7 linked regions of the Oryzias latipes genome follow. The protein of the gene in region 5 binds, or shares a complex with, the protein of the main gene of each other region. Links are inferred from orthologs where the notes say so. Each region holds a gene or a part of one and is shown on either strand. Other genes may lie near its edges. The genes, in order: cwc22, gpkow, ppil2, cwc15, plrg1, srrm1 and bcas2.

What was found.
Region 1: plrg1 (region 5) and cwc22 share a complex: the UniProt entries of both Homo sapiens proteins name them as parts of the minor spliceosome. The link is inferred for Oryzias latipes from reciprocal best matches to the Homo sapiens genes PLRG1 and CWC22.
Region 2: plrg1 (region 5) and gpkow share a complex: the UniProt entries of both Homo sapiens proteins name them as parts of the minor spliceosome. The link is inferred for Oryzias latipes from reciprocal best matches to the Homo sapiens genes PLRG1 and GPKOW.
Region 3: plrg1 (region 5) and ppil2 share a complex: the UniProt entries of both Homo sapiens proteins name them as parts of the minor spliceosome. The link is inferred for Oryzias latipes from reciprocal best matches to the Homo sapiens genes PLRG1 and PPIL2.
Region 4: plrg1 (region 5) and cwc15 share a complex: the UniProt entries of both Homo sapiens proteins name them as parts of the PRP19-CDC5L splicing complex. The link is inferred for Oryzias latipes from reciprocal best matches to the Homo sapiens genes PLRG1 and CWC15.
Region 6: plrg1 (region 5) and srrm1 share a complex: the UniProt entries of both Homo sapiens proteins name them as parts of the minor spliceosome. The link is inferred for Oryzias latipes from reciprocal best matches to the Homo sapiens genes PLRG1 and SRRM1.
Region 7: plrg1 (region 5) and bcas2 share a complex: the UniProt entries of both Homo sapiens proteins name them as parts of the PRP19-CDC5L splicing complex. The link is inferred for Oryzias latipes from reciprocal best matches to the Homo sapiens genes PLRG1 and BCAS2.

What each region holds. Positions count from the first base shown.
Region 1 is NC_019879.2:6,690,272-6,693,475, forward strand, and holds the end of cwc22 (pre-mRNA-splicing factor CWC22 homolog), read right to left. Parts: intron 2,513-3,204; coding exon 2,411-2,512; intron 2,303-2,410; coding exon 2,130-2,302; intron 1,295-2,129; coding exon 888-1,294; 3' UTR 501-887; downstream 1-500. UniProt on the Homo sapiens protein: Required for pre-mRNA splicing as component of the spliceosome. As a component of the minor spliceosome, involved in the splicing of U12-type introns in pre-mRNAs. Promotes exon-junction complex (EJC) assembly.
Region 2 is NC_019865.2:21,307,923-21,312,063, reverse strand, and holds the start of gpkow (G-patch domain and KOW motifs-containing protein), read right to left. Parts: upstream 2,801-4,141; 5' UTR 2,772-2,800; coding exon 2,578-2,771; intron 2,398-2,577; coding exon 2,228-2,397; intron 664-2,227; coding exon 518-663; intron 1-517. UniProt on the Homo sapiens protein: RNA-binding protein involved in pre-mRNA splicing. As a component of the minor spliceosome, involved in the splicing of U12-type introns in pre-mRNAs.
Region 3 is NC_019867.2:622,324-625,823, reverse strand, and holds part of ppil2 (peptidyl-prolyl cis-trans isomerase-like 2), read right to left. Parts: intron 3,220-3,500; coding exon 3,144-3,219; intron 2,568-3,143; coding exon 2,461-2,567; intron 2,187-2,460; coding exon 2,097-2,186; intron 1,029-2,096; coding exon 995-1,028; intron 367-994; coding exon 249-366; intron 128-248; coding exon 71-127; intron 1-70. UniProt on the Homo sapiens protein: Has a ubiquitin-protein ligase activity acting as an E3 ubiquitin protein ligase or as an ubiquitin-ubiquitin ligase promoting elongation of ubiquitin chains on substrates.
Region 4 is NC_019872.2:16,000,765-16,004,711, forward strand, and holds the start of cwc15 (spliceosome-associated protein CWC15 homolog), read right to left. Parts: upstream 2,801-3,947; 5' UTR 2,701-2,800; intron 2,345-2,700; exon of another isoform or gene 2,342-2,344; 5' UTR 2,335-2,341; coding exon 2,204-2,334; intron 1,401-2,203; coding exon 1,288-1,400; intron 1,180-1,287; coding exon 1,079-1,179; intron 218-1,078; coding exon 107-217; intron 1-106. UniProt on the Homo sapiens protein: Involved in pre-mRNA splicing as component of the spliceosome. Component of the PRP19-CDC5L complex that forms an integral part of the spliceosome and is required for activating pre-mRNA splicing.
Region 5 is NC_019859.2:20,800,946-20,805,183, reverse strand, and holds the start of plrg1 (pleiotropic regulator 1), read right to left. Parts: upstream 2,801-4,238; 5' UTR 2,652-2,800; coding exon 2,643-2,651; intron 2,461-2,642; coding exon 2,354-2,460; intron 2,055-2,353; coding exon 1,918-2,054; intron 1,823-1,917; coding exon 1,769-1,822; intron 1,682-1,768; coding exon 1,588-1,681; intron 1,493-1,587; coding exon 1,411-1,492; intron 1,327-1,410; coding exon 1,228-1,326; intron 1,122-1,227; coding exon 1,029-1,121; intron 839-1,028; coding exon 689-838; intron 541-688; coding exon 439-540; intron 1-438. UniProt on the Homo sapiens protein: Involved in pre-mRNA splicing as component of the spliceosome. Component of the PRP19-CDC5L complex that forms an integral part of the spliceosome and is required for activating pre-mRNA splicing.
Region 6 is NC_019880.2:16,885,006-16,888,936, reverse strand, and holds the end of srrm1 (serine/arginine repetitive matrix protein 1), read right to left. Parts: intron 2,986-3,931; coding exon 2,899-2,985; intron 2,816-2,898; coding exon 2,680-2,815; intron 2,588-2,679; coding exon 2,501-2,587; intron 2,399-2,500; coding exon 1,919-2,398; intron 1,837-1,918; coding exon 1,644-1,836; intron 1,537-1,643; coding exon 1,357-1,536; intron 1,253-1,356; coding exon 1,142-1,252; 3' UTR 501-1,141; downstream 1-500. Other genes in the region: clic4 (chloride intracellular channel protein 4), read right to left, coding at 1-2. UniProt on the Homo sapiens protein: Part of pre- and post-splicing multiprotein mRNP complexes. As a component of the minor spliceosome, involved in the splicing of U12-type introns in pre-mRNAs. Involved in numerous pre-mRNA processing events.
Region 7 is NC_019865.2:942,938-946,645, reverse strand, and holds bcas2 (pre-mRNA-splicing factor SPF27), read left to right. Parts: upstream 1-1,296; 5' UTR 1,297-1,400; coding exon 1,401-1,493; intron 1,494-1,889; coding exon 1,890-1,982; intron 1,983-2,071; coding exon 2,072-2,142; intron 2,143-2,243; coding exon 2,244-2,405; intron 2,406-2,483; coding exon 2,484-2,534; intron 2,535-2,614; coding exon 2,615-2,695; intron 2,696-2,768; coding exon 2,769-2,895; 3' UTR 2,896-3,208; downstream 3,209-3,708. UniProt on the Homo sapiens protein: Required for pre-mRNA splicing as component of the activated spliceosome. Component of the PRP19-CDC5L complex that forms an integral part of the spliceosome and is required for activating pre-mRNA splicing.

The sequences.
Region 1 (3,204 bases), on a different chromosome or scaffold from region 5:
GAAGAAATGTTAAGTTGTTGGTGGAGATCTGCACAATTAGATCTAACAACAAGAGAAACATTTTAAGCTTGATAATTGTAAAATTCTGCAAAAAAACCTTTACTTAGAGCCCCTATTCGGTGAAAGAAGATTCATGAAATCAAATATAGGTAAAATCTTGGAGGGGTTTTGTAGAGAATCTTGTTAGATTTTTAGGCCATCCTTAAATTAAAACTCTTCTTTCCAAGTAGATCAGAAATCAACATTTCATCAAGGTGACATGCAATGGAGAGAAAACATTTATGGTGGTCCTTCTCTCTTTCACTTTATAGTTCTTGATCATTTCGTGCGTTCTCAAATATTCAATTCATTTCAGACTCTTTTGGGTAGTAAAAAAATGACATCTTAGCAAAAGAAATGTCAGGAAATTTCAGTTGGAAGGATGCAAAGTTCATTCCCAGAGAGCTTCATGCAGGTCAAAAAGTCAGGCTCCAACTAAGAAAATAAAAGTACACACAGACTTTGTTCATCAATGATACGTTTTTTTATTTGCAAAAGTTTTAAAGAACTTAATTTTTTTTGTAATAAAGAATTAACAATATTTGCCACTTTACGGTTTCAATGAAACTGGCGCCACTTTGACAGTTTTTACAGCAGAAAAAGGACGAACTGTTCCTTTAAAAGCTCCATACCAAAAACAGATCTCCTGCAAGAAAACTAAACTCTTTACAAATGAGCCAAAAAGACTGGAAAACTCACAATTTACAAAGAAACTTCTAAAACAGTTTAGATCTCATTTCATAGAGAAAATAAAAGAGGAAAATAAGCGGCGGGTCCCGGATCGACAGCAGCAGAGCGGTAGCGGTGGGTTGAAGGAGGTCATCCCTCCCTGCTGCAGGTGTGGAGTTTTATCTCCTCCTGCGGTCATCTCTGTTTCTGTCTCGGTTTTCTTTATTCCTCTCCCTCTCCCTCTTCTCCTCAACCTCTCTCTCCCTCCCTCTATCCCTCCCTCTTTCCCTCTCCATGTTTCTCTCTCCATCTCTTGCTCTGTCCATTTTTCGTCTTCTGTCCTCCTCCTCCTCTGATCCTTCGTCCCGCCTACGCCGTCGGGAGTCCTCGTGGGCGCGCTCGGGCAAATCTGGTGCGTGCTTCCTCTGGTCCTTCCTCGCTGCCTTCTCGTCGTCATCGTCGTCTTCATCGTTGCCCCGCTTGCTTCTGTGTTTCCTCTTGTCAGGTTTCTCCTTCTTCTTGCTCTTTTCAGTCTTTTTCTTCTCTTCTCTGCGTCCTTTTCTCTTTTTGTGTTTGCTGTCTGAGTCTGGAAGACAACACGGGGGAAAAAATGGTGTGAAAAGTGTTTATTCACAAGTTAAAACGTTAGGGCCTGATTTTATAGTGAAGCTATGGGATGGGAGAGATTGATTGACAAGGTCAACAGCCAATCAGGAAAAGAAAAAAACAAGCTAAACAGAAAAAAACAGAGACTTCTCTTTTGCCACTTCTCTGTACTATTAAAAATAATTCGTTTGTAGAAATCACAGGAAACTCTAGAAGATTCTTGGTGATTTCGTGAGTTAATTATGAACCTTTTGATCCAAATTTGCAACAAACCCAGACGCCCCCAAACTTACCTTAATTTAGCATCTACATGAAAGCCAACAGTGACTTTTTTTTAAGCAAAAAATATATTTAGGCAACTAGAAGTTAACAACAATTTGTCACCTTAATTTGTTGCTTTATCTTAAAAACAGATTTCTTTCCACATTAGCTCCTCTGATTTGTTCCAGCTGACAAAAATCCAATTGAATATAAGCCAAAGTTTAGACATGATCTGACTTTTCTCCTTTCATTTTTGCAAGAACATTCCATTTATTCTTAAAATCTTGTTTTGAGAATTAATGGTGGATTCCAGGTTCTGTAGCTACTGAAAAACTATGTTCTAAGTCTTAAATTCTTTAAGATTTATATGTGTTCTAGTCATAGTCTGGGCTAAAGTCGGTGCTTCTGCATCAAAGAAGGACCGCAGCTGTAGTTCAACTCCTTAAATATTATTTAAAAAAAATTATATAATCAGAGTATATAAGGAGCTGCTAGTTTCACCAGTACAACTGCAGTAAAGAGAAAAACAGAAGCTTCTCTGTGGCTTGATGTACCTGAGCTGCTGGAGGAGGAGGAGGAGTCTGATGAAGAATCAGATTCGCTAGAAGATTCTGAGGAGGAATCTGAGGAGGACGACGAGGAAGATGAGGAGTCAGAGGACTCAACTTCCTGGTTCTGGGTCATGATCATCTTTGGAGCATTCTTCAAATGTTCCCTCAACTCATCTCTGACAGAGAGAAAACGTTGGTGTTAAAGTCGCTCATTCTGCAGCTAAACAGTTAGAGGGAAAACAAAAGTTAGTCTGATGAGTGTGTGTGGAGTCTCTGCAACTCACGTCAGTCCTCCCAGACCGATGGAGGTGAAGAAGTTGATGGCAAAGCGAGTGTTTCTGGGATTATCACGAGGAAAAAGACCTTCAAAGAACGGCTGCAAAGTCCTAAAGGGAGAAGTGCAACAAGGTTTTAATGGTTTATTTTCTGCTTCTTTAGATGCGATACTGTCAATACAGTACACAATACAGGAAAAAGCAGCAAATCACATATACCAGAAATTAGTTTTACAGATCTACAGTTTAACACTTTAAAATAGCTTAAAAATCTTCTTACGTTGGTAAATATAAATAAATTGACATAGTATTTCTTTATGAGATTAATAAAACTGTCTATTATTGCGTAAAGTTAATTGGTTTGTAGGGATTTTATTGATATTTTGTTAATGTAATTATAGGGGAGGGGTACTTCTGTCAGGTTTAGTTTAAAAAAAAATTACTGAAAGATTCAAACATTGATGAGCTTCTGTGTATTATTTGAATTTATGCCATGGTCTGGGTGAATACTCGATTCTGATTGGCTGCTGGGTGTGCATTAAAAAGTGATATACCACAGGATGACCGCACGCTGAAAGAAGAAGTTCCAGTCACATAGCTTAAATGTTTCGTATCACTGCGCCGGCTTCTTTAAAACAACCTTTTGCTTCATCGATTGGACAAAAACAAGCGGTAAGAGGAGAACTTTCTCTCTGAACTGATTCTTTATTCAACCCATCGGAAAGATCAGCATATATATATATATGCATATATCGCCGAATCTTGACTGCAGCAATAGTGCAGCGCTACGTGGACTATTTGTT
Region 2 (4,141 bases), on a different chromosome or scaffold from region 5:
TTGTGACATTTTTCACATGAAGGAGGGCATATATTGAGAAAATAAGGTTCAAAATGACATCTCTGAGTATTTCTTTATTCAAATCGTTGTGAATCAGGAGCAGATGAAAAAATATGCTGGCAGGGCCACAAGCTCCCCGCTTCATCCCCTCAGTTATGGGGAAAGGAAGGGGGGGCGGGGTTGCTCTGTGCCATTGGTCCCGACTACAACTCGGACGCAAATTCTGAATTAACTCCTGCTGCTCTGCATAAGCTATGTCCTGGAAAACTACAGGTTTTTCAAAAACTGCATCATCACGTGGGAAAGCTTTTACAATAGATCAAAATATGATCGGACTAGGACTTCAAGCTTTTAGGTTGTTCATCCAGTTTAATATGCATTCCTTAACTTATAGTGGGCAATTTAAATCTTTGTTCTAGTCGAAGGACTTGTTTAATCATTCATACGATGGAAATGCGGTCAAAGAATTAATGATTCCTTTATGGAAAACACACAAAAGGTCATGAAATACACTTACGGATTCAGGACGTAGCCCCACATTTATTAGGTCTCCATCCTCGAAGCCCTCTGGCACTTTGTTTTGCATCAACAGAGGGATGGAAAGGTTCAGGTTTTTTTCTGATTCAGACCCATTCTGCCACTGCTCCAGCTGCCTCCGGGAATCTGAGACATGAGAGAGCTGATGAGTCTTTATATTTCTTTATTAATTAAAGTTTAGATATAGAAGCACTGCAAATAAGTAGGTGCAGCTTTGACATTAAACCAGGACCTTTCAACTGTAAACTTGGAGAGGTTAAAGGCAACAAAAGTGATCAACAAAAGGTCCCCACATTCGTTAAAGATTTTAAGCACAAATATATCCTTTATTCAGTGAGTTTTTTCAGGTATTTGAGGAAGAAATTTGTCTTTTTTTTTTGGTTTTATTGAACAACAAAGTAAATTAACTTTTGATGCAAACATTTTAAGAATTCTTTAGTCATTTACTCATTTGTAAGTAATTAGTACACATCTAGAAATGTGACACTGAAGTCTTTTATCTGAAAAATTGCCTTTGAAAATGTTGTCACTATAGGATCCTTATAATGCCCTATATTAGAAAGAAAAAGAGGCTTCAATTGAGTATACAAGATTTGATTTAGCCTGAGAATGTAGGCATTAATTAGCACCCTTGGCTCACAGCGACAAGGCTCTGGTTCAAATCCCGGGTGGAGTTTGCATGTTTTCCTTGTACCGGAGTAGGTTTTCTCCGGCTTCCTCCAGCAGTCCACTTAAAAGATCCCTTAAGAGTGAGTGTGTGGCCCTGTGACGAACTGGCGACCTGTCCAGGGTGTACACTGCTGTCACCCATCAGTAGCTGGGACAGGCTCCAGCAACCCTATCCCCCGAGGGGGATTCAGTAGGTTTAGAGAATGAATGGATGGAATGTCTGATAATTTTAGGTCAGTTAAACAAACCTTTTTTTTTTGTTTTTTGTTTTTAAAAGGAGGATTTATTCACTACGACGGAGTATTAGGTCCTTATTTTACATATGAAACTCCGCTGACACTGAACCTCGGAAAGCCGCCTTTACTGACAATAATCTGATTTTGAGTCGCCAAAGGTTCAGAATCTTTGTTTTAAACCTATAATAATCCGAAAATAAAGCTTCACAAAAGGCTCCACATCTTTCATCTTCAAGCGATGATCCGATAAACGGACAACTTCGGTGTCTTCTCCTTGTTAATCTATGACTTTTTCTCGTAAATTTACGAGATAAAATGTCGTAATTTTAATTTTTTTTTTTTTTTTGGTGGCCCTAAAACTCCGTCGTCATTTACTGTATTCAGAAAACAACAGATACAGTTTCTGAGGATGAGAACACAAGAAATACTTGGGGCTCGGGATGTCATACTGGGAATAAAAACAAAGCAGACTGGTCCAATCACGTGATATGACCAGTGTGTGCCTGTCTGTAGAGGATGATACCTCAGGTTTCTATGGCAACAGAGGTGGGTCCAGGGCATCATAAAACCATGGTGAACTTTGTAAAAAAAATAACACATCATCTACATTTTGATCCATTAAGATTAAGTAATAGACGCATCTGTCAATTTATTATGCTAAGAACATCCTTTACCCTAAATTAGACCTTTCACTTTCCTAGAAGAGCTTTATAGAAACATTTAGAGTAAACATCTCCATGATAGGAACTAAATAAAGGGATGACATTTAAAGCTTTAATGATTACCTTCAATAAGTTCTTTGACAGCCTGGGACTCCACAGAGTCGCTGTCTTGGCCTTTTTCTTGAGCTTTACCGTCATCTTCCGTGTTCTGGCCCGCTCGGTCGGGCTTGTGCCAGCGGTTCTTTTGGATCAGAGGGATGATGAGCTCTTTGGGTTTCTCCGTTTGTTTTGAGCTGAAGGACACAAAAAAATGAAAATAACCAGAAGACAGCACAACTTAAAAACACGCGCTCTCCTGTTTAAATAAAGAAGAAACAAACACAGAGCGTATATGTTAAATTAAAGACATTTTACTCATAGATTCGGAAACGCAAATGCTACGTTGATGCTAGGCGTTATTAGCATTAGCTTACCTTTGTAATTCCTTTTCGTGAATCCCGGTCAAGTAATCTTTTTCTTCTTTCTTCTTCGACTCCTCCGCGCTGGGGGTTTTAAATTTGTTAACTGTTTTTGTGAACCCAAATGACACCATCGATGTTTTCTTCTGGCCCTTGTCCTCAAATGGGACAGATTTAAAAGCCGCTGTTCCTTCTCCCTGAGCCGCCATGACTGCTTTTGAAGATCCACGCTGAAGCGGTGTATTGTGGGAGTTGTAGTGTTGGTCATCGCCCTCAAGCGTTTCTTTTGTTTTTCTGACTACATTGCCCATCAAGCATCAAAGCGTAAAGTTACATAGCTTATATTTAGCTGTTTAAAGTAATGACAAAAATCAATTAAACTAATGTAAAAGTGATTTAATAAATGATATTACATACAAAAAACCATAAAGAGTAAAAACATTTTACTAATACAAAAACATTCAGCATATTTTGCTTGTGTTTTAGATGCTTAAATTAAAAAAAGAAAGTTAAAAAAGTAATCTAGACCTTTAGATCAAGTTGTTTGACACTCATTTCTGACCCCTTGAACACAAACTAGTAAACAATGTTTGATCAATCTAACCAGTTTGATTGATTCATTTTATAATCTAAAGTCCCAACTCCAATCATCTTTTGATCTATTGTAAACGCATTCCCAGTGATCTTTTATTTATGGTGATGCCATTTTGGGGAATTTTAAAAAAATCTGTGTCGTTTTCTAGGCTATAGGTTCTGCAGAGCTGCAGTATTTAATCAGAAATTCGCCTATGACTTGTGACTTGTAGATGGGAATGTTGGAGCAGGGTTAGCCTGTCCTCATTTCATTTCCCATCATCCTTTTGTTTACACTCTCTCCCGCTTACAGCCCCTCACAACCCCAACCTAACAATAGAGGTGCAACAAAAATGGTGACCAGTATTGGAGATATCGAACTGTACAGTTTTGAGCCAGATGCCAGCTCAGACAGGGAAAACAGACATTCATGTTCGAACAAATATTTTCCCATCAGTATTTGATTCACAACGATTTGACTGTATATTCAGAAGTGCTATTTCTTTATATATGTCCACCATCATGAGAAAAAGGCCACACCAAAACTAAATTTAATCAGAAATTAAACTTGATTTTTAAAACTTAATTTTAAAATGTAACATCTTTCTCCCATTGCTTTTCTGTAGTTTAGAACGAAAATAGTACGAGTTTGTTATCAGTCTGTTTGGACTGAATAGATAGATGATCTGGTTTAAACATGCCTTCACATTATGTCTGCCTTCCTGTTCCTGCCTTAAGTGAGACTTTACAGCGAAAGGTGATACCACAGATCCAGGTAGTGCACAGACTGTTTTAGGGGGCGGTACTTGAACTCTTTTCTTTCCTGCCCTCCCCTTTGTGTTCTGGAACTTCTCGAGATAACCTTCAAACATGAGACATGTGGATTGTTCTTTCAGAACAAGATCGCATTTAACGACAGTGAGGCGTCAACCTTGGTATATTTTCGGCTTGATCTCGCCTGCCTCCACTCTCCGACACCTTCACTCACTCTAATCAATGCAATTTT
Region 3 (3,500 bases), on a different chromosome or scaffold from region 5:
TGCAGAGAAGACGACCAATCAGAGCAGCCCCAAAGCTGGATCTGTGGGAGATCAGCCTCTGGAAAGGTACCTTCCAAATATGGTGTGCTTCCTGTCCAGGTGGGGGCAGGACCGGAATGTGATGAAGCTGAGGAGGAGGAGGAGACGTTGAAGAAGATCTGCTCCAGGCTGCAGCCCAGAGAACATGAAGAACATAGATTCAGTTTCGTGTTTGGGTTTCCTCGGTTCCAGGGACCAAGGTTCCTTACAACTGAGACTTGTTGGTGTTCGGACCCGAGTTGGCCATGCTGAGGACCCCCCGGCCCGCGTGGGACAGGTTGGGCCGGAACTCGTCCTTGAAGGGTTTTCCCCAGAAGGATTCGCCACCTGAGCAGAACCGAACCCACAGAGACTTCAGAACCAAACCTGCCCTAAAGGAAGAGATCCAGCAGCCGTGTGCACGGACCACACAGGGTTCCAGCTAAGAAACATTATGGGATGTCCAGCTGGAGATGGAGCTTCCCTCTCTTTGTGGAGAGTTTTGTGCGTTTCTGCGGCAGCAACAGTCTCAGGTTTGGATCAATGAGGATCTTCATCTGATCCCAAATGCATTTTATACTAAAGACAACAGAAATACGTTTCCGTCTCATTAGAGACGAGCCTCCAGGAGAAGAGGAACGCTGGTCCTAGAACCCGCCGCCGCCGTTCAAAGAGACCAAGATGGGTGTCATGTGGTCGGGTCTCACACATATAGCGACAAACATGTGGCAGTCGTCGGCATAAGGTGGAAGTTCACCTTATGAAACAGCATTCCCAGTGGCAGCAAGTAGATAGAAGATAATGGGCCCGGTCCCCCCCCCACAGACAGACAGACTGCCCCCACCCCAAGTGCCCCTCGGTATCTTTGGCAGCCCTGAGTGCCTCTCTCAGGTCCCCACAGGTTCAGCATCTCTAAAGAGGACCTTCAGTCATTCAGAGCCGCTCCGCCACTGAAAGCGGTCCAAGCTCCGCCTACCTGTGCCGGTGCCGGTCGGGTCTCCTCCCTGGATCTGGAAAGAGAAAGGGTCAGCTTTAGAAGATGGAGATGCTGTGTTCCATCACCCGTTCTCTGGATGTGTGCAGAGCTCCTGCTCCACGTGGAGACGTTCAGGTCTGAGTGCAGAAAGGTTGACGGGTGGATCGTAGTGAAGGAGGAGCAGAGTCCATGTTCCTCCCCTCACCTACAGACTCTGGGTCGGACCAGGAGGAGATCCTGGATGCAAACGTCTGGAAGGGGGGAGGCAGTGGCTGCTCCTTAGAGGGAGGGTGAGGAGCTCAGCAAAGAGCCGCTGCTCAGGGAAACTCCCCCAGGAAGGAGACCCAGAGGAACCGTGTTCCTCAGCTTGCCTGGACTTTGGGGTTCCCTGACTGATCTGGAGAAAGGCTCTGGATGGAGGACTGGAGACCAGCGGTTAGCCTGCTGCCCCCCGACTCCTCATGAGGAGGAGGAGGACGGAGGGAGCTTGGAAAAGGAGCTGGACTTGATTTGGATCTGAACGGGTTTGGGTTGACGTTTCCTCTTTAATCAAAGTACCCAAATATGTGAATATCTATTGCAGCTTTTGATCAGCAGACGCTCCAAATATTCAAACCTTTGGGACCCGGCCTGTTCAGCAGAAGCAGACCTCCCCTCTAGGGCTGCACGATATGAGGAAAACTCGTGATATGCGATATTGGTGATTAAAATCGCGATAACGATATAATTTGCGGTATATAAACAAATAGCCAAACAACCAAAAACATCATTTCCATTTCACTGCAACAGTATAAAAATTATACTCCAAATGACCCTTGTCGACATAGGAGGCAAACATCAAACATAAAAGTGCTCATCTGATTGATCAAAAACGTAAACGGGTCCTTCTGATTGGTTAAATGCATAAAGGGATTACTTGCATTTGTTCACCATTTCAGGCTGCCATGAGTTTGTTTTTGCAAATTTGAGGTAACCATTTATTGCGATTTTTGCCGTCTTTTGCGGTATGCATGTTGCACAGCTTGATGTTGCGATGACGATAAATTTGCGGTATATTGTGCAGGCCTTCTCCCCTCATTTGCTAAAAGCGTCTCTTCCTCACCATGAAATTCCGGATGGACCTGTGAAAGGCGGTCCCGTCGTAGTAACCCTTTTTGCACAGACGGATGAAATTCTCTCCAGCTTTGGGAACCTGGTTTGGGGGGGGGGGGGGGGGGGGAGACAAACACTGACGGTCAGACACGAACACATTCCAGGTCTGATGCTGCACCACTTCCATCCTACACTCCCAAAAACCAGCCGAACGCTCCACGTCGTCATGACGACGGTATTTAAAAGAAAGGAAACTGTGTTTCTTGTTTTATGGTTCTGATGTTTTTAGTACCAACAGAGAAAAAAGATCAAATAAAAAACGACTACGGCATCAATAAAGGCTGCATGGGTTTAAACGCAGCGTCTGACGTCACCTTATCGCAGTGCAGCTCCAGGTTCAGGTCTCCCAGGTTGGTGTGCAGGCGGACGTAGCCTTTCTTCTTCACGTACTGGTACCGCACAGCATCATCGGCGATGGCGTCTGCCACAAAGACAACGGTAAAAAAACGAACACCTGAAACGTGCAGACAACAGCGACCGCTGCACACATGGGCCGCTCCAAAGGCCTCAGACATATTGGGGTTCAGTCGTTCCTCTCTGAGCAGATTGGGTTCAGACAGTGGAAACGCAGGGCGAACTGGATCTCAGTCCGATTGGAAATAACCGAGACCACCTCAAACGATGGGTCCCAGTGGACCCTGATCCTTCTGGATCAGGGTCCACTTTGGTGTATTCAGACTAGTTCTGGTTTACTTTACGTGAACCAAGTGCGTCCAGTCTGAATCCAGCCTTAGAGGAGCGTCAGGACTGGACCAGCCGGTTCTGCTTCAGAGAGAAATCCAGTGGACCCAAAAAACATTGCCTTATTAGAATTCATAGAAAGTCTAATGTACCGCCTCAGGATACAATGACATAAACAATAATAATAGCTTTTATTCCCTTTCATTTATCTTTTTAAAGTCAGTGAACACGGCTGCATCCCAGCAGAAGCAGCAGACAAAACCAGGTCAGCGGCTGACGTGCAGAGGAGAACCCACAGGAACAGATCCTAGCTTACCGGCTTCATGGATGGTTGAAGGAGTCATGGCTGTGGAGGTGAAGGAGGCGGAGACTCGGCCTGTTGAGTAGTGGGCCTGGACGGGGACACAGGCAAATGTGTCATGTTTACTTTCTGCATGGACTCAATGATTTCTAAACCAATAGACATGCTGTTCTCTCAAAGTACAGACGGAAAAATGCAGAAAAACAAAGAAGGAGAAGCTCACATCAAAACCCATCTGCTGTAAACAGATTTAGAACCTGTCAAAGACCGGCTTCCATCACAACAAAGAACAAACAGGCAAACAACAAACAAACTAACAACCACCAAACAACAAGCTAACAGGCAAACTACAAACAACCAAACAACAAGCTA
Region 4 (3,947 bases), on a different chromosome or scaffold from region 5:
CAAGAATCATATTTTTCCTTGATTATTAAAACATTGTGTTTGAACAAAGTCATGCTGCTGACTGTAAACACAGAGGTACCAAAACAAAATGGATCAAATGTTTTACTTTGCGTTCTTGCTCTTCGGCTCGCTCCTTCTTTATCTTCTCAAGCTCAGCCAACAGAGCTGCAGTGTCGTCATCATCACTATCTTCATCAGAGTTCTCATCCTCGTCATCCTGTGAAGAGGAAGGATTTTAGAGAGGATTAAGGCTGCAATGGCCTCATGCAGCACAACTATGGCAGAATGGTGACAGCCCCCATGCACTGCTGACGTTCTTTTCCACTGTTTAATGACTTTTAAATAAGTTGACATTTTCAGACGTATTCTCAATAAAAGACATTTACAAGAGAGTACATCAGTCTTTATTTGTAGTGTGCACACTTGGACACTTTTAAGTCAGCTACAGTTATCAGTTTAACTAATGCCACCTTGTTGGAGGTACCAGTGCTGGATGTGTTGCTGGTAGCTGTAGATGTGGATGAGGTTCAGCTTCAGGAGCTGTACTGTGGGACCGACCATAAGAGGCAATGCAGGGAGTTTAGCCTTTAAATACACCAGCCTGGCATTTGGAGAGCCCCAGTCTGCTCAATTTTTCCAGAGGAGGAACAACGGTCATATTTAAATCAAGTTTGTTTGCCACACTTTTTAAATTTTGTGTACATTTTTTTTCTTGAATGAAAAAACTAAGTTTTAAGTTTACCCACAATTGTTCTTTTAGGTGGTCTGATCAGCTAAAATTAACCACAAATGAACCATCTGGGATGTTTCAAGTTTAATGTGTCCAAAGCAGAGAAGTTGTACAAAAGAAATTGTTTGTTAAAAGTCAACTTTACAGTGATTTTTCCCCAATTAAGTCAATCCAGGCATTTTATTGCTAATTTTAATATTTACAGTCTTTAAAGAGAAAGTTTTATAGCACTAAAATATCAATATCTATTCAGATCATGTCAAGTGCAACAGCGAGAAAAGGTCTCATCTCCCAGCCGTAGGTGTACTGATGAAATGTTTTCTTTATTATATCAGTGCAGACACTTACATCAGTGAGAGGGTCATCAGCATCAAGGTTAGCAGCTGGAATCTGATCCAACCTGGGCCTCTTTGATGATGATGAAGATGATGAAGAGGATGTAGTGTGTTCTGGAGAGAAAAAAATGTAAAGACTGCATTTACAGAAAAATACATACTTTGCTTGGTTTATACTTGTGTGTCAAAAACAGTAAGTCTAAAATTTTGATAGAGACTAACCTCTTGGTCCCCTCTCTCTGGTCTTCTCACGTGCTGCTACACGCTCCTTCTCCTCCAGTTCCCTACGGAAATCACGGGCACGCACCTCCTCGGGGGCATCCTGAGTGGGCTGTCTAAGGGATCATAGCATTTTCAAGACTAAGTCCCACTACAAACTCCAAAAACCACTCATGAGATAAATAGTAACATGTACAGTTGGGGGAAAAAGTATTTCTCAGTAACATATTTAGCAAATTGTCTAATTTAAAAAGATGAGAGGTCTATGATTCCATCATATACACTACAACTGTGAGAGATTGAATGCATATTAAAAAAAAATATATAGCGAAAATTGTAAAAATATTTTTTGTAGAACTTGCACAATTGGTAAATGCAAACCACCCCTCCTACACACTGTAGCTACAATTTAAACATAACCTGCAGCAAACAAACCATCAAGAATTATCAATACTAAATGATGTACTCCAAATGTACAAAAGCTTTATGGTTATACAATTTAGTTGATAACCATTTTAATACTGAGCAATGACTTATTAGATGCAAGATATTTGTGAGCAAATTATTTAACATTTTCTTAAGGGTCATGGAGAGACACTAAATAGACAAGAAAATGCACACATGCCCCCCCCCCCCCCCATGTCATAAACTGATTCATGTGATGCTCCAACGTGAGGTTAGCTTAATTGTACCCAACACATTATACATGTAGACATTTAATCAAGTGTAGATTTATGTTCCACTTTTTAATAATTATAGCACAAAAAGACTAATTTAATCAATCCGGTTTGACCATTTCCCAAATAATTCAGATTGAATCTTCGAGAATCTTAACATGATTAAATATGTTTCTTTCAAACAATCGCTTTCTTTTTCAACTGAGCTGTCGCAGCAGAGTTTAATAGGAACTAAAAACCACCTGTATTTGATCTTGGTGTGACCTGGAAGATCTCGGCTGGAATATTGCTTGGACAAGGCACTCAGATCGCCTTCTCCTTTTCCTCTCCCTCCTCTCGCCGGCTCAAACGTTGGTCTTGCTGCGGTAGTCATCCCTAACCTGCTTCAACAACAACACGGTATTTGTCAAACATGAGTACAGTTATTTTCAGTTAGCTACTGTACTTTAAACGCAGAACAAACAAGGTAACATCAGTTGTATATAACAAAACATATACATACATTTATCGATTAAACAGACTTTAATACTTATAAAGGGTATTACTAGCCACCAAATTTGATTATGCTAACACTCAGACAAGACAAAAAACTCATTTTGGGCTCTTTAGAAAACTTATTTGTTTTAAGATTCACTGCACACTAATCAAACGAGATGTATGGCTACATTTATCATATTTATACCGTTTTAACAAAAAAACATCTGTAAAAAAACGTCTTTGACTTGGAAAAAATACTCACGATTCCACTACACGGCTAGCGGAAAGAGGATACCATAGAACGTCACTTCCGGATTGAAATTGCTGTTGCGCATGCGTCAAGAATACGATTCTGTTGGTGCGTTTAAAAAGAATTGGAAAATGCATTACTCATTTCAAATGTAATCTGATATTTATCGTAAAGAAATTACTATATTGTACCAAAGGAGAAAGAATTAGCACAAAAATGCTTTGTTACACCTTTCTTTTTCAAAATGCTGTGGTGATATTCCAGGGTACATGGTTGAATTCTAAAGCATTACAGCCAAAAATGTCTATTACTGATTTCAGCAAACCAACACTCACATTTAAAATGAAAAACATATAAAACCTTTGAGCACTGGTGTAAACAAGGAAGTGTTTACGAGGAGTCATCTTGTCTCTTCTTTTGAAGTAACCGGTAGAATTACTGTAGAAATGTGCGATTAGGGTTTGCAAAACATTTTACGTGGCCACCATGGGGCAATGTGCATCAGGTTCAGTGTCTTCCTGTAGCTTAATTTCTCCACTCAAAGTGAACATTAACATCACAACATGATTTTTAAATATAGTTTATTCCAAATTGAACACATTATTTTTAACTTTATTTAACAGTCTTGATACGTAGATTCTATTAAACATAATTGAAACACTTGTAACAGATGTAAAATTCCTGTCTTTTTCCATTTTAGACCTGATGAGTCTTCATCCTTAGGTTTTGAGATGTTCTTCTCAGATAATATGCCTTCCTCTTTAAAAGGATGTTTCTCTGGATTTGTGCCGTTGGACTCTTTGCTGCCTTTGGCTTTAACTTCAACTACAGAAACACTGGTTTATATTTGTTCAGTGTTTGCTGTTTAAGTTTGATGAGTTTATTTTATTCTTTTCCAAAGATATATCAATACATAATTGTGAAAATACAAATCTAAAACACCTCTTAGGCTCAAAAATACACTCTTAAATGAAAGGGAGAAGAGAGAACATGATTTGCCCCTTTTCCCCTTAATACTGAACAATATTTGGATTGCACCAAACTTGTCCCTCCCCTCCAATGTTTTAAGAAATGTCTGAGAAATGACAAAAGTATTAATCAATTTATAAATAATTTAATGAAAATCAGGCATAACTCTGGAATTTTTGTACAATAATTAACTAGTGAAATGACTGGACAAAGTATTGGTAACTTAAACTTCATATTTTGTTTTCTGTGCCTTTCAATTAGAATTCTGCACCTGTTTGCAGACATTTTAC
Region 5 (4,238 bases):
AAATATTGGCATTAAAAAAAAGAAATTTCCTTTCCAGGGACTAATTGTAGAATTCCTAATTCTAACAATTATAGTCTGACTTCCTTGTTTTTGCCACGATTTCAGACCCTCATGGTGTATTTTGGATAAACGAGGAATGTTTTTCTTTTTTGGATCAGTGTCCTTAAATTGAACTTTTGTTTACAGGGGCGTTTACATTTGTTCATACACAAAAGAACTCAAAAGTGTTTTGCTTTCTCCAAAAACCCCAACTATGGTTCCTATGATAAAACAAAAACAATTTTTTTCTGCAGCTCTAGACATTTGAGCAGGATTATTTTTAATACATCTGTATTTATTTATTTAAAGATCTGAGCTTTGTCACTTCTTGTCTGTCATGTAGGATTTTTCTTCCATGTGTGACATATATAAAGAGTAATGAGTGGATTCCGATCTTACCCTCGCTGTGGCATCTCTGCTGCACGTCATCAAGACATCAATAGTTGGATGAAGGTCCAAATCATACACAGCACTGAGGTGGCCATGATAGTGCCGGATTACCTAAAACACAAAATACTCATGTCACTAAAACACCAAAACTCTGACGTATGAAGAAAAAGAAAGAAATGACTGAACTTTTTGTCTTTGTTTATATTCAAACAGCCCTAAAATGTTTTTTTTTAGAGATATTGTGAAGAGAAGCTTGTACCTTGTTGTACTCTAGATCCCAGCATTTGACTTGCTTATCCTCTCCGCAGGAGAAAAGGTACGGACTGCGGCTGCTCACCGCCACTCCACGCACTGTACTGATGTGTCCAGTCAGAGACAGTTTCAGCTTCCCACTGGCCAGGTCCCAGATCTGAAGGAAAAAGCAAGTCTCATGATATCCTTTCCCTGTAACAAAACACTCCTGGTTCTTTTTTTTTTTGCTGTTCCACCTCAACAAATGCAAAAAGGAGAAGAAAAAAAGCTTTGTAGTGTAAAAACAGTATAAAAACAATCAGAACAACGTATTGTATAAATAAAATAAAAAATAGAGAAGAGATAACCTTTATTGTTCTATCTGCAGATCCTGTCACAAACCACTGATTTCCAGGCTCCACAGCGATGGACCTGACCCAGCCCAGGTGGCCGCTGATGACCTGTCAGGTGACAAAAACCTTTTTAGTAATCACGTGAGATGTTGCTTCCCCTCCGTCACCGGATTTGACACAACTGAAAAGGAGTTCAAGGATAATTTGCAGTTACTCTAAAGAGTTTCCAGGGAGGATGCCACTGCGGTTTGGGCATGACCGGCGTTCTCCTCAAGAGGTTGGAATTTCTGGTGCCGCCTCCTTCCAAGAGCAGCTGCAACGAACAGATTGTTGCGTTAGAATTTTGTCAACCAAGACTGGGTGAGAAAAAAAAGCGCTTAAGAAGCTTGTGATGTACCAGAGCGGTGGACTGAGCGTGAGCTCTTTCTGCTCCACGACGGATCTCTGCAACTGTGGCTGCAGTGCGGCTGGACTCTTGTCTAAAACAGCCATCAGAAGACAAAAAATAGATATATCAATGAATCCCGAAAAGTTGATTCAGTACTATTTGTATTGATTGACTGAACAGGATTACCTTGCTTGTGATGGTGGTAAAGCCAGAGCCAAGGAGTGGATTCCTGACTCACTGGGGTTTCTGTGCACTTTTGTGTCAGCTGTCAGGGCGACTCCTGTTGGGTTAAAGACATAGATAATAAAAAGCTGGCTAAAAAAATGAATAAAGTTCCTTTAAGCTTGGCTAAAAGGAAAGTATTTACCAGGTCCAGAGGGATAAGCGTGCGTTCCCGTGATCAGATATTCAGGATCATCTGCTGAAGTTGTCGGAAACCAAAGACAAACAAGAAAAAAAAGTCAGATTTTTACAATTTAAAACCAAAAACACTGAACGGTGATGCTTCCCACTCACCCGGCTGCATGTAAGCTTCGTTGTCGTGGAGACCGTCTGGATACTGTGACATCCTGTCCTTTCCTTCTTTTAGCACTGGCATGTGTAACACAGGACTGTAGTCTGCCTTTAGCTTCACGGCCAACTTCAACTTGTGGCTTAAAACGAAAAAAAAAAAGAGGAGCTTCAACGCAAACCCACCCGTGTGCCCACGTGAAGTGGAAACATATAGACAAACCATCTCCAAGTGCCAAAGATGTTTATAATCAAAACATGAAAAAATATATTTTCTCCCAATGCATGCCTAAAAGGTTAAAGTAACCCTTTTGATGTGAACTATTGCATAATAAACTAATAAACATATTATGAACGCACGATTAGCATGACCGTGAGTTTTAACTAAAGTGATGATACACATTTTAAATACAGAAGTCATAAATGTAAAAGCTCAGTATACCTTTCATCATCTAAAGCGACGGCTTTAGCATGGTCAGCCACGAACATGTCATGAGTCCTTTTCAAGGATCTGAAGACCAAAGTGTGGACTGAGTGTTTCTGGACTTCCTGTAACAATTAGAAGGAAAAAAAAGTTTACTTGAAAGACGAGTCCATGTGATTTATCAGGGGGGATACACTACAACGTGTGAAGATTCAGAACGTTAACATCCAGTAGTTAGACGGGTCCAGTGCTGTGTGAGTCTAAAGCGTGGACCAAAGAAAATCAAATAACTCAAATAAAGTCTCACCTCGGTCATTGTGGCGATAATAAAGATTGATATCACACTGCAGTTAAGTAGTTTTCGGTGAATATAATCCACGAACACCGTAGGTGTAGCAAAGCGACAAAAACAGTCCACCGCCGCGACAAACGAGTCTGCATGACCCGGAAGTACAACAGCCTGAAAGGCTAAAAGATTTATTTTATGAGCGCCCTCTGGCGGTACGTCTCATCCCAGCGTCTCACAGTGGCGGAGATTATGTTTTTCTATTATCAAGCCCCCATTTTTCGCAATTTCTCCGGGACGTTTTGAAATACATATACATATTTTAGGGGGTTTCAACATTTTTTTTAATTATTCAGTAAAAAGGCAAATTTAAACAGTTCTGTGCCGTTTACACATTTGGTGCAGAAATAAATTAAGGGTTCATATAAAAAAATAATAATAAAAAATAAAACATTTTGTTTTTGATGTGAAAAAGAACTAGTGTCTGGGAATTACTTATTCCCCTTTGCTAATGACCATTCTTCCAGCCTCTCATACATGTAGGCTGGACACTACTGAGTCTGCTCTATTTAGAAGTTCACAATTGTTGATTTTATCCACAAGTTGGTTTGATTTGTTTTAGTTTATTAATCTTTTGCTGTTAAATTTCCCTTTTAAACCAATTTTATTATTTATTAAATATTGTTTTAATAAAAAGGTTTCACAAAAAAAGCAATGAACTCATTTATTAAGAGATGAAATAATTTACAGTAAATATTTCAAAGGAAAATTTGATTTGGATAAATTCCTGCAACAACCAAAGCAGCCTGAAAATAGTACAATCATCTAATCTTATATAATTGGATTCCAGTTATTTCTTGGTTGTCAATGTATTATTAGTGCTCTGAAGATACATTTTCAGGTTTTTCTTCAGTTCTTGCTGTCCTTATCTATGCTTGTAATTTCATTTTCTACCTCCTGCCTTTGATTTCAGTGGTTCACAGCACAGTTGATTTTCATCAAAGACCTGAAAATTGTGTTTTCTGTGTTTTTAACATGTTCTTCAGCCATTTTTCTCATGATGGAGGACATTTATAAAGAAAATTTAGCTGCAAATTGCATTTCGGAGTATTTCTTTATTCAAATGTAAATCAGGAGCAGATAAAAAAATACTGTTTGAAAAAGGTTGCATTTGATATGCAGAAAATACCCTAGGTGGGTCAGAAGCTTCCTGCTCTGTGCTTTGGGGAAGGGGGGCAGGATTGCTCCACACCAACAGTCCTGCCCACAACTCAGAGGTGATTTTCTAATGACTTACTGTTGCACTGCAGAAACTATGTCTTAGAAAACGATACGTTTTTCAATTTGTGCCAAAAAGTGGCACAATTAAAAAGCACAGGGAACGCTTTTCTAATAGATCAAAAGACGATCAGAGTGGAACTTTAAGCGTTCTGTGTTCATAGGGCCTCTTGATTTGACTCTTTTTGGTGTCAAACTGAATATTCGTTGGCATAACTCTTCCACTGACTGGCCCCTGTTTTCCCTGCAGCTTGATCTCAAAAATTTAAAAAAGTTTAAGCCTGAATTTAGCCTTAAGGACTTAAAGAACTGATGACTTTTCAAAGAATAAAAAAAAAC
Region 6 (3,931 bases), on a different chromosome or scaffold from region 5:
ATTGTATATGCTACTTTGAAGTTTGTAGGGTGGGAAGAAAAAAACTATTCCGTTTTCTTGCCACCACGCCCGACTAAACACTTCTTTTCTCCAGCAAACTCCTCCTTTCCCCCCGAGTCTCTGGTTTATCTCCCGGTGCGGTGAACACGGCGGAGCGGACGAGGAAGCTCCCGGCTTCTCAGGTGAACGGTTCAACGTTTCTCTACCCGCAGGCTAGCTAAGCTACAAAACCATCGTGGAGGCGCGAGGATGAGTGATGACGTTGGGAAGAAGAAACGGGAATATAAGACCGTGATGTCATCAGCGGCGCGAGGAAACTCATAGAAATGTGGGCGGTACCCCTGAAGGAGTTCTGGAAAACTGGAAAGGAACCCAATTTCAAAGCTGGCAGATTTTCTTTAAATTCTTCCATTATTTGCATTTAGCTTTGTAGTAAAGTTAGTTGACATACGTCTTGAAAAGTTCAGCGGGAAAATGTGTAAACCAAATAAAACGTTTATAAAAGAAAAGTTTTAATTCTTAAAGTATGACAAGAGCTAAAGATAATACAAATACTAAAGAAGCCCCACACTGATTAGCTCAGTACATCAAACAAAAATGCATACCTATTAATTTAGAAAAACTTAAAACATCTCTCAATTTAAATGGTTTTAATTTTTGAAACAAAGTAAGTTCAAAGTCAGAAAGCAAGTTCAGTGATGCCAAAGACCTTGTTGTATCATGTCACTGTTTTTATCACAAAAAAATAAAAATAAAAAAAATAAAAGGAGCAACAGTGGATTACTGTATGGTGGCTTTCCCTCTACACTTATAAGGTTGGTGGTCCATGCACAAAGACGATCACTGCACATGCAATTATTCCTCTACTGTACACAGATGAAGGTATCAACCCGCTCAACTGAAAGTTAACTTTTTTTTGTTGTTTAACCATTAGAAAGTAAGCTTAGACAGTTTAGATAATACACTGATGAATTCAAATCTCCAACACTCCAGAATGTATCAAACCAGTAAAAAGGAAACAAGACTAAAGATAAACAATTTGTACATTCTAAAGCCGAACCACTTTGATGAAAAATGGAAACAAAGAACAAAACAAACAAAATTGTCAAAAGTGATTGAAAACTCCAGAAGCGTGTTGCTTTCAAGACATCTGTGATGGAGATGTTTGGGCCTTCCTCATGGAGCGCAGCGCCTTTTCCCGGAGGTGCTTCTCCAAGTCGTCCAAACCGTCGTCCACCTCGCTCTCAGACTCCTGAACAGAGTAAATATACCCATTAAGCATCGAGTTAACCACAAGGGCAATCAACACACATTTTACAGCCACTACTTTACAGAAAATACTGCGTTTGCTTTTACCTTTCTTGAATCTTTTGAATCGTCCTCCTCTGGTCTGGGGTTTTCTTGGCTTTCTTCAGTCACAGTGACCGAGCTTTTTTCCTTCTTGTGCTTTTTGTGTTTCTTATGCTTCTTGTCTTTTTTGTGCTTCTTTTCCTTCTTCTTCTTCTTTTTCTTTCCGCTGCCATCACCATCAGAGATCTGCAATAAAAAAAAGCATTTGGCTTAAAGAAACCAGACATGACCACAGATAGTAAATGTGAATAGACGGTACAGATTTCTCATCGCATTTGTCGGTGGGGTCTAACCTTGCTTGGAGACTGACTAGCAGAACGACTGCTGGCTTTTTTAGCTGGAGGTGGCGGAGGAGAGTGACTGGCAGAGCGAGAAGGCGATGGAGAAACAGACGCGGGGGCCAGACGTTTCTGTGCTGGTGGTTGAGGAGAAACTGATCTGGACCGAGAAGACACCCGCCTCACGGGTTTAGGGCTTAGAGAGGATCTGTGAAAATACAGCTGGCATCAGGAGAAAATCTCAAGATAAACAAGGAAATCATTGAGATGAAGCACATCTGTTTCCTTACCTCTGGGTGTTACGGCGCTCAGGAGTGCGAGATACCCTGCGAATGAGCTTACTACTATGGGATGGGGACTGTTGTCTCCTCTGAGTAGATGGAGATGCACTAGAGCCTTCAAAGCGTCTGTGGGGGCTGGTGGACCTCCTTAGAGGATGACTGCGGTTAACCGGTGATCGAGAAAAGCGCCTGCCTGCTGCAACGGGAGATCGCGTATCCCTGTTGGACCTCACAGGCATCACGGGACTCCTCCTGTGTCTAGGCGGAGATGAAGAGGAGGGAGGTGAGCGCCTCCTAGAAACAGGGGAGCTTCTGCGCTTTGGGGACCTGGAGGGACGCCGCTTTGGACCTGGCGACATGCGTTTCATCGGCGAATTGGACATCTTTCTTTTTTGAGGAGGCAAAGGTGAAGGGCTGTACCGACGCTGGATAGGAGGCGAGTATCGCCTAGAGGACAAAGACCTACGTCTGGGTGGAGGAGAGGGAGACCTAAGAAAGCCACAATCAGAGATTTAATACAATTTTTCTTTTTACATTTACAACAAGCACCAAAATTATAACTAAAAATAAGTTAGTAGAAGTTTCTTATACCTGCGTCTAGGGGGAGAGGGAGATCTGCGGCGTCGAGGGGGTGAAGGGGTGCGGCGTCTGCGCCCAGGAGAGGGAGAACGTCGTCTTCTATACAAGTAAAAATAATGAAGATGAGAAAAACACTCAACACTTCATGACAGAAAGCGTCAAAAATATGCAAACACAGCCAGGTGTGTGACCTTGGTGAGGCCTCCTTGAAGCGTCTACGGGGTGAAGGGCTGCGGCTAAGCCTTTTCTTCACTTCACCATTTCTGGCACCTGGCCCTGCTGCTGACTTATTAGGCCCCTCATCCTCTGAGGAGGACGTTCCACTATCTGAAAAAGCACAAGACAGCATTTGTATTTAATTAGTTTAAAATGTATTTACAGGGTGGATAATATAAAAAAAAAAGGGGAACCTGAGGAAGATTGTTGATTCTGTCTTCGATACTGACGCCGCTGCTGCACGGAGTCTGCTGCTCCCCCTTTATCATTCTTTTCCTCATCTGAAACGCAAATGAACGTTTTCATCAGTATGGAAACTCAAAAAGGACAATACAAGGTATTTGCACCGCTTTTGACAGCATGAGACTAAGCTCTGCTGATGCGTTTTACTGTTTTGCTATTTGTGTTGTATTATTAAGGCACTTTTTATAATGTTTGACTTTTTATTGTTTTAACATTTTATTTGTTTGTTTTTATGTTTTGAGCTTTAAATTAGGGCTGGGCAATTTACTGATGTAATCAATTAATTTGAATTTGTTTTAGACAATTTATTTTTGGGAAGAAGATAAAAGAAAATCAAGAATTTATCTTCTCAGCTCTCTGCTGTCTCGGACTTTCATTGATGGAAGTAAAGTCAGTCAGATATGAAAACATTAGCAAGCAAAAACACGCCCTAACTTCTGCTAGTTGCCTCCGTGTTACCTTCAGTTTAAGCTGATGAAGCAGCAGAATATGTGAGGATGTTTTACAGGATCCAGAAAAAAAACTGGAGGATAAACTTGCTTGATTTACAGCAGCAACAGAAAGTTTAATACAAAGTGTTGATGTGGAAACAGCGGTGTCGTTACACACTGATGCTGTGATGCTAAATCCTAACAAGCTGTTCCTTGTGTCACCTACATGTGACCGGTTTAAAGTCAGACTATTTCTCCACTGAACGGACTTTAAGATGTGGTGGATAAATGGAACCAAATTAATTCATAGAACATTTATAAAAACTGTATTATATAATTATAAAAACAGGCACTTTGTATGGAACTTTATTAGAAGTGCCTTTGTAAGATTACAGAGTCGGTGTTGAGCTGAAAAAGTAACAACCACATAGTTTTGGTTGTTGGAGTGTATAAAAACTATTTTATTATTCCTAAATGTTTTTCCAGGTAAACAAAGTTCAACTCAGTTAATCTGTAAACTCCACTAGTAAAGAATTCCAATCTACATTTATGC
Region 7 (3,708 bases), on a different chromosome or scaffold from region 5:
AATCCCTTTATGCATTTGACCAATCAGATATAGCCCTTTACGTTGTTGACCAATCGGATGGAGCTCTTACGTTAGATGTTGCCCTACTAATTAGACGAGGGTCATTTGGAAGATAAATTTAAGGTATTTTGACTCTTATTTATACTAAACATTTGAAGGGAAATGGAAATGTTTTTGTTGTTTTTGCTATTTGTTCATTTTTTGCAAGTTATATCTTCATCGCAATATTGATCACTAATATCGCATATAGCGAGTTTTCCTCATATTGTGCGGCCCTACATACTATAATGCATACACATACCAGTACTTCCCCTTTCTTGGCTATTTACTCTTGGTTATTATTTCTGTATTGTTAAGATGAAATGCCTTCAACGTAAACTTATAATTTTATATACATTATTTAAAAAAAAATATTGAAGTGATGATGAAGTATTTTTACAAGATTGATCACATTTGTATCAGAAGAAAAAGCTATTTATATATTTTTTTAGAACAACAACAAAAGAAAGATAAAAAAAGCATTTATTTGTTGAAATTTAATATGAAACTCTTTAAAGGTTTACTGTAGTGCAGTAATAGCTGAAACCTGAAGTTTGTTACACTACACATCTGCAAGAAGCTCCTGGGGATCTTCTATCAGTCTGTGGTCGCCAGTGTAATAACCTACGCTGTGGTGTGCTGGGGGGGGAGCACCTCAAAGACAGACTTCTCCAGGCTGGAGAAGCTGATCAGGCGGGCTGGTTCTGTGGTTGGCACAAGGCTGGACCGTCTGGCTACTGTGGCAGAGAGAAGGACACTGAAAAAACTGACAGGTATCCTGGACAATACCAGCCACCCTCTGCACATGACTATCGGTAGCCAGAGAAGCACCTTCAGCAAGAGGCTGCTCCTCCCAAGGTGCGGGACTAATAGACTGAGGAACTCCTTTGTCCCCCGGGCCATCAAACTCTTTACCACCCCCGGGCCATCAAACCACTTAGGAGGGGGGAGGGGGACAGAAAGGAAAGGGAAAGGGCCTGAATCACTTTTTTTTTTTTGTATATACTGTTTGCAGATATTTAAATTGTTTTTTACTGTTCTAATCTTCCTCATTTTTCTAGTCACTGTGCTGCTTTTTCCTTTTTCCTATATGTATGTCAACCAGTGCTGTATGCGATGGAGATGTCAATTTCCATGCGGGAACCTCCCAAATGGATAAATAAAGTTGTCTATCTATCTACTAAGCTGCAGTTCCATTCCTCAACGCAAGAGGCGACAATCACGATTAATACAACACCGTTGAGACTTTTATTTCGGAAAGTTTTGACCGGAAACGGAAGTTTCTGATTAGCCGTTTGGAGTCTGTTAGCAGAAAAGGACTTTCTTTCTTTATTTTTATTTTTTTTTACTGGGGAGCGAACATGGCTGGAACGGCCTCGGTCGCTGGCGAAGTGTTTGTTGATGCGTTGCCGTATTTTGATCAAGGTTATGACGCACCAGGTGTCAGAGAAGCGGTGGGTAAACAAGAATGCTGCTTTAAAAGCTAGCTAACTTATAGCTAGTTAGAACTGTTAGCTAGCGATGCCGCATGGTAACGCGCCGTTCAATGTATAGTTGGCCAAACCATTATTATTATGATCGCCTGTATATTTCTTTAGATCTTGTCATTATAGGTTTCTGCTTTGAAACTATACAAGTTCATAATTTAGGATGAAAACCTTCAAAGCCAAAGCTGCTGTTTACCTCATCGGGTAAAACAACAGCTGAGGGGTTTGAAACAGCCGGCAGATCTGGAGAACCAGGGTTTGGTGACACTAAGTTGACATGTTAGATCATCAGGGGTTGTGGCTCATTTTTAAATCATGTTTGTATGAAAAATGGAGAGAAATCATTTGTACTTGGCCCTTCAGGCCGCTGCGTTGGTGGAAGAAGAGACCAGAAGGTATCGCCCAACTAAGAACTACCTGAGCTACCTGCCCATGCCGGAGTTCTCGCCGTTTGAGGTGAAAACCTGCAGACATTTGAAACTTGATTCCTAGTCTGGGTTGGCTAACCGGTTTATAATCCTTTCCCGTTTTGTTTTGGGTTTCAGACAGAAATCATGAGGAATGAGTTTGAGCGATTAGCCGCTCGACAACCAATGGACCTCCTCAGCATGAAGAGGTAAAAAACACACTCTGTCTGTCTGTACAATATTTCTGTAAATGTAAAAGAAAGAGAAAGTTTAGGGTGATTCCATAGAACGATTCTATTCTGCTGTGGAGGTATGAGCTTCCAGCCCCCACATCGGGACAGAAGAACGACATTACCGCCTGGCAGGAGTGTGTCAATAACTCCATGGCCCAGCTGGAGCACCAGGCCATCCGGATCGAGAACCTGGAGCTCATGTCGCATTATGGAACAAACGCGTGGAAGGTCTACAACGAGTGAGTGGCGGCCTGTGGGTCTCACCCTTTGGTGTCTGACTCTTCTGAAGACTCAAAGCTAATGTTGTCCCTTTTCAGCAATCTGGCCTTCCTGATTGAGCTGGCTCAAAAGGAACTCCACAAGTTCAGGTGATTGAGGATTGGATCATACATGCCTGAAAAGATCCAACGGTTACCATGGTTACACATTTCTGAACTTATGCCGGCAGGAAGAAGATCCAGGACCTGAACTGGCAGCGCAAAAACGATCAGTTGGCTGCAGGCGCCAAGCTGCGAGAGCTGGAGTCCAAGTAGGTTCTTCTTAAGTTCTGGTGTTCTCGTGGATGAGGGGTGATGTCTGACTCTGGTTCTGATTCCCGCCAGCTGGGTGTCGCTGGTCAGTAAAAACTATGAGATCGAGCGCGCCATCGTCCAGCTGGAGAACGAGGTGGCTCAGCTGAGGCAGCAGCAAGGGGAGGAGAACAAGGAGAACATCCGACAGGACTTTTAGGAGTCACCTCACCGGGATCCGTTGGATGGATCTGATTCGGTTGGTTTGGACGACTCGATGACTGCTGGAGCGTAGCGGGTCACTCGACTCCAAGACGGATGATGTTTGAAAGGCGTCGGTTTCCTCTGATGGAACCGTTGGGTCTTTTGTGTTCAGTTACACACAAATCATGGTTTGAAACTCATGATCGATCGACATGATCGATGTCTTTGTAGCTTGTTGTACAGTTTCTAAGTTGTGGTGGAGAAAAAAAATCCTGTTTTTGATTCAACTTTTGTTTTTTATCGTTTTAATAAAATGAACGTTTCATACACATTGTTATTTTTTTCAGTCTTTTACCTGTAAGTCTCTGAGCTTCAGAGCTGCAGCTGATGAGCTGGAAGCTAACAGATGGGAGCAGCTGGATGGTTTGTCATTCATCCCTCTTGAAGAACAGTGAAACCTAAAGTCTGAGGCCTAGAGTGAGGCGGTTTTGTGTCAGATCCCCTGTCTTCTGTACATCCACTGAACTTTGATCTCAGAAATCTGCAGCATTTTGTGCTGATCCATTTTCAAAAGTCTCAGCGTCTTCCATGACTTCCTGGATGAGTCTTCATCTTTGTTGTTGGTCAGTGGCACAGAAAGGTCACAACACATTAACTCACAACACATTAACTTACCACACAACACATTAACTCACAACCCAAAAACTCACAAAACATTAACTCACAATGGAAGTAAAGCTGCAATGGAGGTGCTTTTATCCTGAAATTAATTAGTGTATATATATATATATATATATATACACATCAAGCTCAAGGCCCCAACTGACAG